Arabidopsis thaliana: one gene and its partner. The protein of the gene in region 1 interacts with the protein of each later gene in a biochemical or structural test. Each region holds a gene or a part of one and is shown on either strand. Other genes may lie near its edges.

Region 1 (5,780 bases):
AAAGAAGAAGATGAAGAAGAAGAAGAAGAATGAGGGCAAAATCGTTATTTCTTATAGCAGAATGTGTCCATCTCCATTAGCCCAACAAAAAGTACTCTTTTTAGAGTTTTTGGACTTAAATGTACCCCAAATACGTAAAAGCCCCAACTTATTAGAGCCAAAACTCTGTTTGAAAGTTAAGAGTTGGTGAGAGAGAAGAATTTGTTTCATGCGAAAAGGAGAAGACAAAGAGCGTGTGTCTCAAACAGGAATAACGTTGTCATTATTACAGAAAATACAAACAATATCAAGTTACTTTTTTTGGAATGTTAGTTTTTTAAATATATAATATTTTTGTAGGTTATAAGCCCAAATTTCTCTTTTTTATAATTAGAAAAATAAATTTCAAATTAGACAAAGCTTCAAATTTTGCATTAATAAACAGAACTTAAGAAGAAAAGTAATTATCTTTCCCTTTAACCTAGAAAACAACAATATAATATGTCTACTAAGAAATAGTTAATATTAAAAACATACAAAAACATCACATGTAAAATCAGACAACATTTTTTTTTTACGTTTTGCCTAAGATTGTAAAGAATGAAACGACTTGTATTATTATTATTTTTTTTTTTTTGCGGTCTGGTTCTGCACTTCAAATTGAATTAAGACATGATTTATTTATTTTCTGAATTTGCTGGCCCATCCCGTTTTCCACCTCTAAATAGTAAATAGAAACCAGATAAGTAACTAATTTACTAATTCACAAAAATATTTATTTTCCTTGCATTTATTTATTTTGATTATTGTTGAAAGACCTGATCTCTTCACGTATACGTGAAATTCATGGAGAATAAAAGCTAGAATACTAATAGGAATTTAACCAGTAGTTTATTCAAGTTCAACTGAATTTCACTGTTTGTCGGTGCACGTGTACGGTCGACCAAGTCGTCAAGATACGTTTCCCACTAATAGCATTAAAACAGTAACACTATTCATATATAATAACTTTATCATAATAACCAAAAATGAGGTTTTAGCAAAAAGCAGAAAAAGAGAATATAACTGATAATATATATATAGAAGGGATTTATTAGAACTCAAGATCGAAACCTGAAAACTGAACATTGCTTTTATCGCCAGCACCATCTCCATCTACATGCATGGGTACAGAAATATCAGGATCTTGGGATCCAACCCGGTTTTCCTCGGGTCGGGTGTCTAGATCTCTGGCTGACGTGGCCGTGGTGGCGGTGGTGGCGGTGGTCCCTGTTGGTGGTTGGCTGTATAAAGCTGTGAGTTGGTGAAAATAAGGACAAGTCCTTGAGTCAAGTGGTCTCTTCTTGTTAACATCTTTTGTCTTCCTAAAATACTTGTTGATGTTTTCCCATTTCTCTTTGCATCTTTTGGCACTTCTCTTGTACCCAATCTCCAACATTTTCTTGGATATTCTTTCCCATAATGGAACAGCTTTTGAAGATGTTGATAATGAGTTCTCATCTTTATGATCATCATCATTCATGTTACTGATACTTCTTCTAATGTTGATCAGAGCCAACACTTCATCCTTTGGCCATCTCTTGCCAAGATCACTTTTATCATCGCTTTTTGGAGGTTTTGGGTTTTGGTTTTTGGGTTTTAGGGTTTTAGTAGAAAAAGGTTCAAGTGATTTGTCAATGGTTAAAAGGTTATGTGGAGTTAGGGTTTGAGGTAATAGTGATGATGAAGTTTGAAACTTTCTTCTGCCTTGGGTTTTTCGTAGAGCTAAAGAAGATGAGTCTTGAGAAGGGCTTGTTGGGTTTTGGACAACATCAAGATCATGGTCTGTAAACTTGGATATGAACTTGATGATGTTGGTGTTTCTATCACTAGCCATGGCTTGTTCTTGTGCTCTAATCTCTACCTCTTTGTTAACTCTCTCAATCTCTTGCTTCTTCCAAGCTTCCTCTCTCGCTATCTTCTCTTCTTCCTTCTTCACCATATCTTCCAGGAGTTTCTTATGCATCTCCTCTTGTTGAGCTATCATGTTCCTCACTAGACCCTCACAAAACCCTTTTAACACACCAAACCTCTCTTTCTCTTTCTTCCTCTTCTTCCTCTTCTTCTCCTTCATGATCATCATCAAGCTTGATGATGATGATGACTTGGCATCATCTTCTACGTTTCCAACTTTTCCAACCTCAATAGAGTTTCTTTGATTCTCCATTGATGCTTCTTCTACTTGACCCTGATCCTGATCTCTTAATTTGTCCTCCGCCATTAAGTCTTGTACCGTTTCTCCCACGTTTCCTTTTCCTTCTACTAAATTGGTCCTCTTGTTTTGGTTATCCCCAACTTCTGATGAAACATGTTCATTGTCATGACCATGATGATAAAACTCTTCAACCTCACTAAATATCCTATAATTATTTCCCTTGTTGTTATAATTGCCGATGTGTTGATGATCATTAGTGTTGTTGTTGTTGTTGTTGTTGCTATTGAAATATCTTCTCTCTTCTTCTTCAAATTTCTCTTTGCATTCTTGTGGACTCCTCTTAAAACCAACTTCTGCCAACTTTCTACAACATCATAATTTCATAAACGACATAACGTCATTAATAATACGAATATACATATATATATATATACGAATATACATATATATATATATACACACTTCTACCAATAATATACACATATATGTATTGATATCTTACAATTTCATCGTTAGTTTATTTTTAAAAATGCATTAAAATGGCACAAAAATGTCAATTATGTATAAATATAAATAGTTATTAATGGCCAATCATTTGTTAACATCAAAATTAAATATCCCAAAAAATGCTTATTCAAAAGAAAAAGATCTCTAGTCTATCAAATCAAATTGAGTAACATGATAATTGTAATTGTTGTAAATGTACTCTTATAAAATAAATACTAATGTTCATGTCCATATGCATATGAAGAAAAATATAAATGTGTTGATGCATATATAAAGAAGTATATTTATATATGTGTGTGATATGTATTACCTTGAAGTATGCTCCCAAGTGAATTCAGGGAACCAATTCTCCACTGTAGATCTGAACCTAAGAAGAGCAAGAACTTCATCACTACACCATGGATGATGATGATGATGTTGATGATGATTATCGCTATCATCATGATCCGTCTGACCTATCCACTCACCAGTAGTAGCACCACCATCTTTGATGTCATGGTGATGATGATGATGATGATGGTGAATGATCTTACGGCTATCCAAGCTCAACATATGCTGAGGTTGATGATTGGTGTTAAAGGAAGAGAATGAGACAGGAAAAGGTAGTGATCTTTCCGCCGCCGGTTGATGCGGCGGAAGCGGAGGCGGTGGCGGTGGAGAAGCTATGAAACGGTGGATCTGCTCAGGTACTCCACCATCAAACATTTTCTTTTATTCTTATTCTTCTTTTTTTGTTCACATCGAAATCTCTCTTTTCACTCTCTTTTTTAGTCTCTCTTTTTATATTGCTATTTTTTTTGTCATTTTGAGGGCAAGACCTTATATTTATTTAAAAATAAAATATCTGTGGTTGGTATTTAACCATTAATGAATAGTTATTGTTTATTAACTACTTAACCATGTATTTTATTTTCTTTTGTCTGATTTGATTCCGTTTTGTTAATTATTATGTATATATATGTTCAAAAAAAATTCCTAGAATAAAAGTGAATGCTTAAAACCTTTTTTTATGTTTTTGTTCTACTAACTTTATAGAGAATATTCGAACCATTCTTGAATTATTTGGCATATATAGTTGCCAAGTAAAAGAATTGAGATTTTCAAGGATGATTCTGAGTCTCACGATCCAGTTCTCATATTAATGCAAAAGTTTAGACCTAATTTACATGAAAAATATCAACAAATTTGTTTTCTGATTGAATCGAATGTATCTAGTAGCATTATATGTTTTATTCTTATCTTTCCATATAATGAAATTACAAGTCAATTTTTTAACTCAAAAGCTACCGTGTAGATAAACACGCGTATATAGTCCAAGTTTATATTTTGTTCTTCTTGCATAATAATTGACTGATAGTGAGTGTTATTTTTTATATGTGTAAAAATTCAATTTACAAAATGGCAAAGACAAAGACAATATTACTAAAAACGCCAAACATCACCTCTCTCTCATTTATCACTGACATTTTGTCCAAATACAATAAATCGAATCATTTAGCCCATGTTATAGCCACCCCTTATGCTCAAACAAATTAAGTGAAACCTAAGCATTAAAGGAATACTTGTATAGTTGAATACTATAAATATTAAGTAAATAATATATAGTATAAAGCTGGTTCTCAGATTCATATTTTATACTTTTGTCCTAGAAATATAGGATAAATATGGGCATGATCGAAATGTTTAATTCATACTTCAAAATAATTACGAAAGCATAGGTTAATTATTGATATTCCGGTATCTACTAAATTGCTGGATATATATGGAAATAAGAAAAAAAAAAAATCCACTAACAAATGATTTTTTACTTCTTATTAGCCAACAAAATATTTACTTCTTTTAAACATAGTATAAATTGATAATATATATAAATTGACTCTTTTATTTTTTTAGTTACAGACTTTTACAGTCGACTAACAAGTGACAACCAATAGGTTATATTAATCATTAGTAATCAACAATTTAAACTTCTTTTATTACAACTCTTACAACAAAATCAATTAAGTTATTAGATGATAGTCTTTCATTTTCCAAAAGCTTATTATTATAATTAAACAAGATATGATGGACTATTAGTACCGTTTGAGGTGTGTAGTTATGAATTTAGGCTAGAATCGATTTTTCAAATGCTTCAGAAAAAATCTTGCTCTCCATATTTTAACCATCGGCAGATGCTTTTAGTGGTAAATTTTTTTTATTGAAATGGAAGCTGAAATTAGTATGGAATTTGATATTATATTCCCCGGTTAACAAAAATAAAATAAAGGAGTATCCAAATTTTAATAATCATCAATCAAACAATCAAGTCTTAAACAAAAAAAATTATTATTTTATTATAACAATAAATGAGTAGAAAAGAAACACTACATAGAATATTGAGAGCCACATTTAATCTGAAACAATAAAATTTACTACAAATGCATAACTTAATATAAACCAGATAGAGTATCAAACAACATCCGGTACGAGTGATCTATTTTTTCATCTCTAGAGACTACCAACATGTACAATTACATTATTTTATAGGGAAATATACATAAATTAATTGTGCTTTGTCTTATTTTTACATCAATTGTTCTTGTCATTATTGTGATACTTTATAATATTTTTGGAAAAATAAATATAGAAATTTTGGAGGTACATTAGAATCCTATGCAGAAGCAGATGCAGATGATAGTGTAATAAACGGCAAGCGAGAATGGCAGGGCACGTGAATACATGCAGGAACTGGGTCCTCTCTTTTATTAATTTATTATGATTATTTCTTACAATTTGTTTATTTATGACCCCATTGATTTTGTCTTTTAAGTTCTACTCATCTGCTTCTCAGGTCCACCTATTTATGGTGCACCTCTTTTTCTTTTGTCGACTTGTCGTTATTGCGTCAGCGATTGTATTGGATCATGGAATCACTATTAGGACGAGGTACGTGCAATTCTTGCTTTCTTCTTTTTCTAATGTCGGCTTAAATTACTTTCACATCTACTTCTTGTTCAAATACGTCACATTATATGTGAAATCTTGTAAATCTAATTAAATTCATGTTTTGTCTCTAATCATATGTATCTCTATTCACAAGGTCACAATGATCCGTTTTGTT
Region 2 (4,246 bases), 4.7 Mb from region 1:
AGAGTTGAGCTCCTGTCATATATATGATTTCTCACACTTTTTGGGAAATAATGTCTTAATATAAATTTAAATAGATCGAATACTTAATTATATAGTCTAAGTATAAATAACAAGTTACTAAAAATATGAATGTATTGTTCAAAATCTTAATTTAAAACTTGTCTTGAAATTTACTACTTCACGACAATTTATGGTGGCCAATGGCATAATACCAACCTCGTGTTTTTACATGTGTCATTTTCCTATTAGTCCAACATCAATTTTCAACTTGGTATCCAAATAAATAATACACTAAAGCACTTTATACTAAAACTAATTGACAAAAGAAAAGCACTTTATACTTAAAACTAAATTTTCAGCGACCTCTGTTTGTCGTATGAAAATTAAAAGTTTGATTAGACACAAATTTGGAAGTGATTGCCCGCGAATCATTTTCTTTGTGGCTAACGTACACACGTATAGAGACGTACAGTTCAGACGAGTGGCTCAAATGATTAAAACAGTAAATCAGAAAGAGAACATTTTAATATAACTATAATTTTAACTAGTACTTAATTTTTTCAGCTTAAAGCCATATTTTTCATCTCTATTTCTTATCTTCTTCTTTTTTTGTAAAACCAAAAAAGCAACAAAATGTGGGTAAAAAGTAAAAACCCAACCCATCGGTTTCAATCCAACTTACTTGATTTTCCATTACACACAAAAGTCACAAACCAGAAAATCAAAAGAACGAAAAACAAATTATGTCTGTTTAAAAGCATATCTCCACCAATCATGCAAATGTTTTTGGTTAAACTCCTAGAAGCATAAAAAGGTCATCATCATCATCATCATCACCTTTATCAAATCACTTAGCCATCATAATCTTGACAAACTCTTCATAGTTAATCTGACCATCTCCATCAACATCAGCCTCACGGATCATCTCTTCCACTTCTTCATCAGTTAGCTTCTCACCAAGATTGGTCATCACATGGCGTAGCTCAGCAGCGGAGATGAAACCGTTCTGGTCTTTGTCGAAAACCCTGAAGGCTTCTTTTAGCTCTTCCTCGGAGTCAGTGTCTTTCATCTTCTTAGCCATCAGGTTCAGGAACTCGGGGAAGTCGATAGTGCCGTTTCCATCTGCATCAACCTCGTTGATCATGTCTTGGAGCTCAGCCTCTGTTGGGTTTTGTCCTAGTGAACGCATAACTGTTCCCAGCTCTTTTGTTGTGATGCAACCTGTGTAACCACAATTAAGAGAGCATTACATTTTAGAACCCATCACATATTATACTCAAATGCTCAATGGAAGCAATGATAAAGCAGTTTTGTCATGGGTAAAAGCAATGATAGATGCAAAAGCGAATGAACATCTTTTGCTTATCTCTTAAAGAGTGAACAAACAAATCTACACAAATTGAGCTACTATAAGCAGGATATAACCATGAGACAATTCAGGAGTAGTTTCCAAACAATTTGATAATCTTTTGAAATCAAATCCTAGATCAGAGAGAACAAACACTACATCAACTAGTATAACAAACAACTCAGAAATCAAGAGAAAATCTGAGCAACATGACCTTGAAACCTACCTAGAGAGATCAAGAAGAACCATCAAAGCTTCTAAAAGATTCGAAATCACATTTAAGCACATAGTTTTTTCCCATTCTTTGGTAGAATTGTTGAGAACACAAAAAAAAACTCAGATAATTAACAACTTCGAAGAAAAAAAGATAGCAGATTCTTTATCAACTAAGAGCAAACTCGAAAACACATACGACCAAAACAATCATGGAAGATGAAAAATCAAACAAAACGTAAGAGACGAAAAAATAAATCAGATCCAAGCTAGCAAATCAACGAAACAGGACAACAAGCAAGCTATTAAATCGATTCAATCATATACAAAAAGCCATCGAAGATCAAAAAGCGAAACTACTCGGTCAAAGATCAAAAACAGATCAAACGACAAGGTCAATACCTCCGAATCTAAAGAGATTAGCGACTAATAAACACATATTCAAAGCTCGGGAGGACGAGATACACCGTTCTAAATCATCGATAGAAGACGAAAATGGAAAAAAAACCGAGATCCAGTAATGTAACCATCAAAGGCGTAAAAGAAGAGGTAATCTAACCATCGCCATCTTTGTCGAAGAGGCTAAAAGCTTCCTTGAATTCGGAGATCTGTTCGTCAGTGAGTTGATCCGCCATAGCTTCTTCGAGAAATCGTCTTTCTTCTCTTCCTTTGTCTTTACTTAATGAGTTTTTTTTTTTTTTGGATTCAGAGTCGTCTCTCTTTGAAAATGATGCAAACAAATATCTAAGCAAAACGACAAAAAGAAGGAGAAAAGGTAAGTCGGAAAAATTCCAAACAAAAACCCAATTAATTTTTAATTTTTAGAAGAAAATACATATATTAATAAAAGTGTATAATTTAATACCAAAATAATTAAAATATTATTACTTTTATATTTACTACTTTAATAAACTATGAATTTTTCGTTGATATGACATTAATTTTATTTATTTTTTAAAAATTACTTTTAGTAATATTTTGTTTCTATATTATAAAAATTATTTTATTTTTAAAATTCACATAAATAAAATGAGCAAAAGAAATCTTAATAAATTTTGAAAAAGATAATGATATTGTGAACCGAAATATTAATAAAAAGTTAGCTGATGTTGATATACACAATGTAACTTAGTTGAGGTATAAAAACGTACCGTTGAGAGGTTGAACTTCACTTTTTTCCGGAAGATGAATATTCGGATTATTTTAACTACAACATAAACCACTTTCTACAAGCGCTCTCACGCCTTTGGCTCACACGATTGTTTTCTAACATCATTTGGCTCACGAAATATGCTTCACAAAGTTTACTTGTGATGATCCATCACAGCAGACAGCAGTCGAGCGTTAAGAGAAAGATTGCATGTCGTACATGTACATCATGTATTCATGTGTGAAAGATGCCAACAGTGGTCGAAACACAATTATCATCAGAAAAATATTACTCGAGCAACAATACTTTTCTATCTACGAGTATGTGCTGCTCACTCTCCATAATATGGAGCTAATATTGATCATAAGGCTTGAGCGAATCACCTATCACCAATACCTAAGATTAGGTGATAATCTTAATTAAGCTATTTGTCTTTGGGCCAGTTCTACACGTATTTGGGTCACTACAAAAGTTTGAATAGCTTGAAATCCTTAATACCATGGAAAATGAGGTTTCTTTTCTTCTTCGCACTACCATCTCTTCGGCATATCTAAAAGATACCTCGTAGGCTCGTATACAACTCTAAGACCAAATTTAATAAATTGTTGGACAAACCTTATTCTAATTTTTGGGTAACACGATTGGAATCAACAAAACCCTATTCTTGATTGTCGAAACTTACGTACTTAATTAATGTAAGAAAGAAAAAAAATATCCAAGTTCATATAGGTTACAAAGAAAATAAAAAAATTCCAACACAAATAAAAATTAAATTTTTAAAATTCATAATAAAAAAAATAAATTTCAAAACTAAAACTAGATAAAAATAAAACAAAACCAAGGAAGAGAGTAATAAGCTTAAAGAGACACAACACAATCCCAACGAGGAAGCTCTTGACAAGGTCAAAGGAACATTCCACCCATACATGAACACATGCTGACGGAGATCTCGAGCATATTTTATCTGCGAGAAGTAGATTCCGTCTTCCCTAGCTTCCCATACGTCTCCATGGTTAACACCAAAAACTTGGTGATGCTTGAAATTAGGTCCTTGCCATAAATGACACCAAAAATAGTCGGAATCATCATCAACTAGCAGATGGTACGATCCTGTTGGATGCAACCTATGGTATACCATATCATGGTTCGTGGATTTGCAATGGATTATGAGATCGTTTTTTTCATGAAGAAAGTTTCTGATCCACACGGAATGTTTGTACGATAAGGCTGTGTTACTCATCATGGTAAGACCAAAGGCGAAAACAAAAAGGAGAATCGATAGACGATTCATTGATATCATCTCTATATGTTGAACTAATGGTCGATCGATTTAATTTGAAGTGATAGAATGTTTAGAAGGTTTAGTTTGTTCTGTCTATATATAATGAAAATACTAGTCATAGTCCTGATAGGTTTAGGAAACACAAATTCAACAACAATAACAATTAGGACTTGAGCGATTGCAATTTTTAATACTTCCTATATTATTTAAGTCAATTTCAAATACGTGGTCACAAAAGGTAATCAAATAAATA

What was found.
Region 2: the proteins of AT5G28300 (region 1) and CAM1 form a complex in vitro, tested with the Arabidopsis thaliana proteins (one study listed by BioGRID).

Annotation. Positions count from the first base shown.
Region 1 is NC_003076.8:10,291,717-10,297,496, forward strand, and holds AT5G28300 (Duplicated homeodomain-like superfamily protein), read right to left. Parts: upstream 3,568-5,780; 5' UTR 3,386-3,567; coding exon 2,991-3,385; intron 2,538-2,990; coding exon 1,073-2,537; 3' UTR 563-1,072; downstream 1-562. UniProt on the Arabidopsis thaliana protein: Probable transcription factor that binds specific DNA sequence.
Region 2 is NC_003076.8:15,003,922-15,008,167, forward strand, and holds CAM1 (calmodulin 1), read right to left. Parts: upstream 2,285-4,246; 5' UTR 2,197-2,284; coding exon 2,121-2,196; exon of another isoform or gene 2,009-2,120; coding exon of another isoform or gene 1,964-2,008; intron 1,504-1,963; coding exon 1,426-1,503; intron 1,222-1,425; coding exon 848-1,221; 3' UTR 606-847; downstream 1-605. UniProt on the Arabidopsis thaliana protein: Calmodulin mediates the control of a large number of enzymes, ion channels and other proteins by Ca(2+). Among the enzymes to be stimulated by the calmodulin-Ca(2+) complex are a number of protein kinases and phosphatases.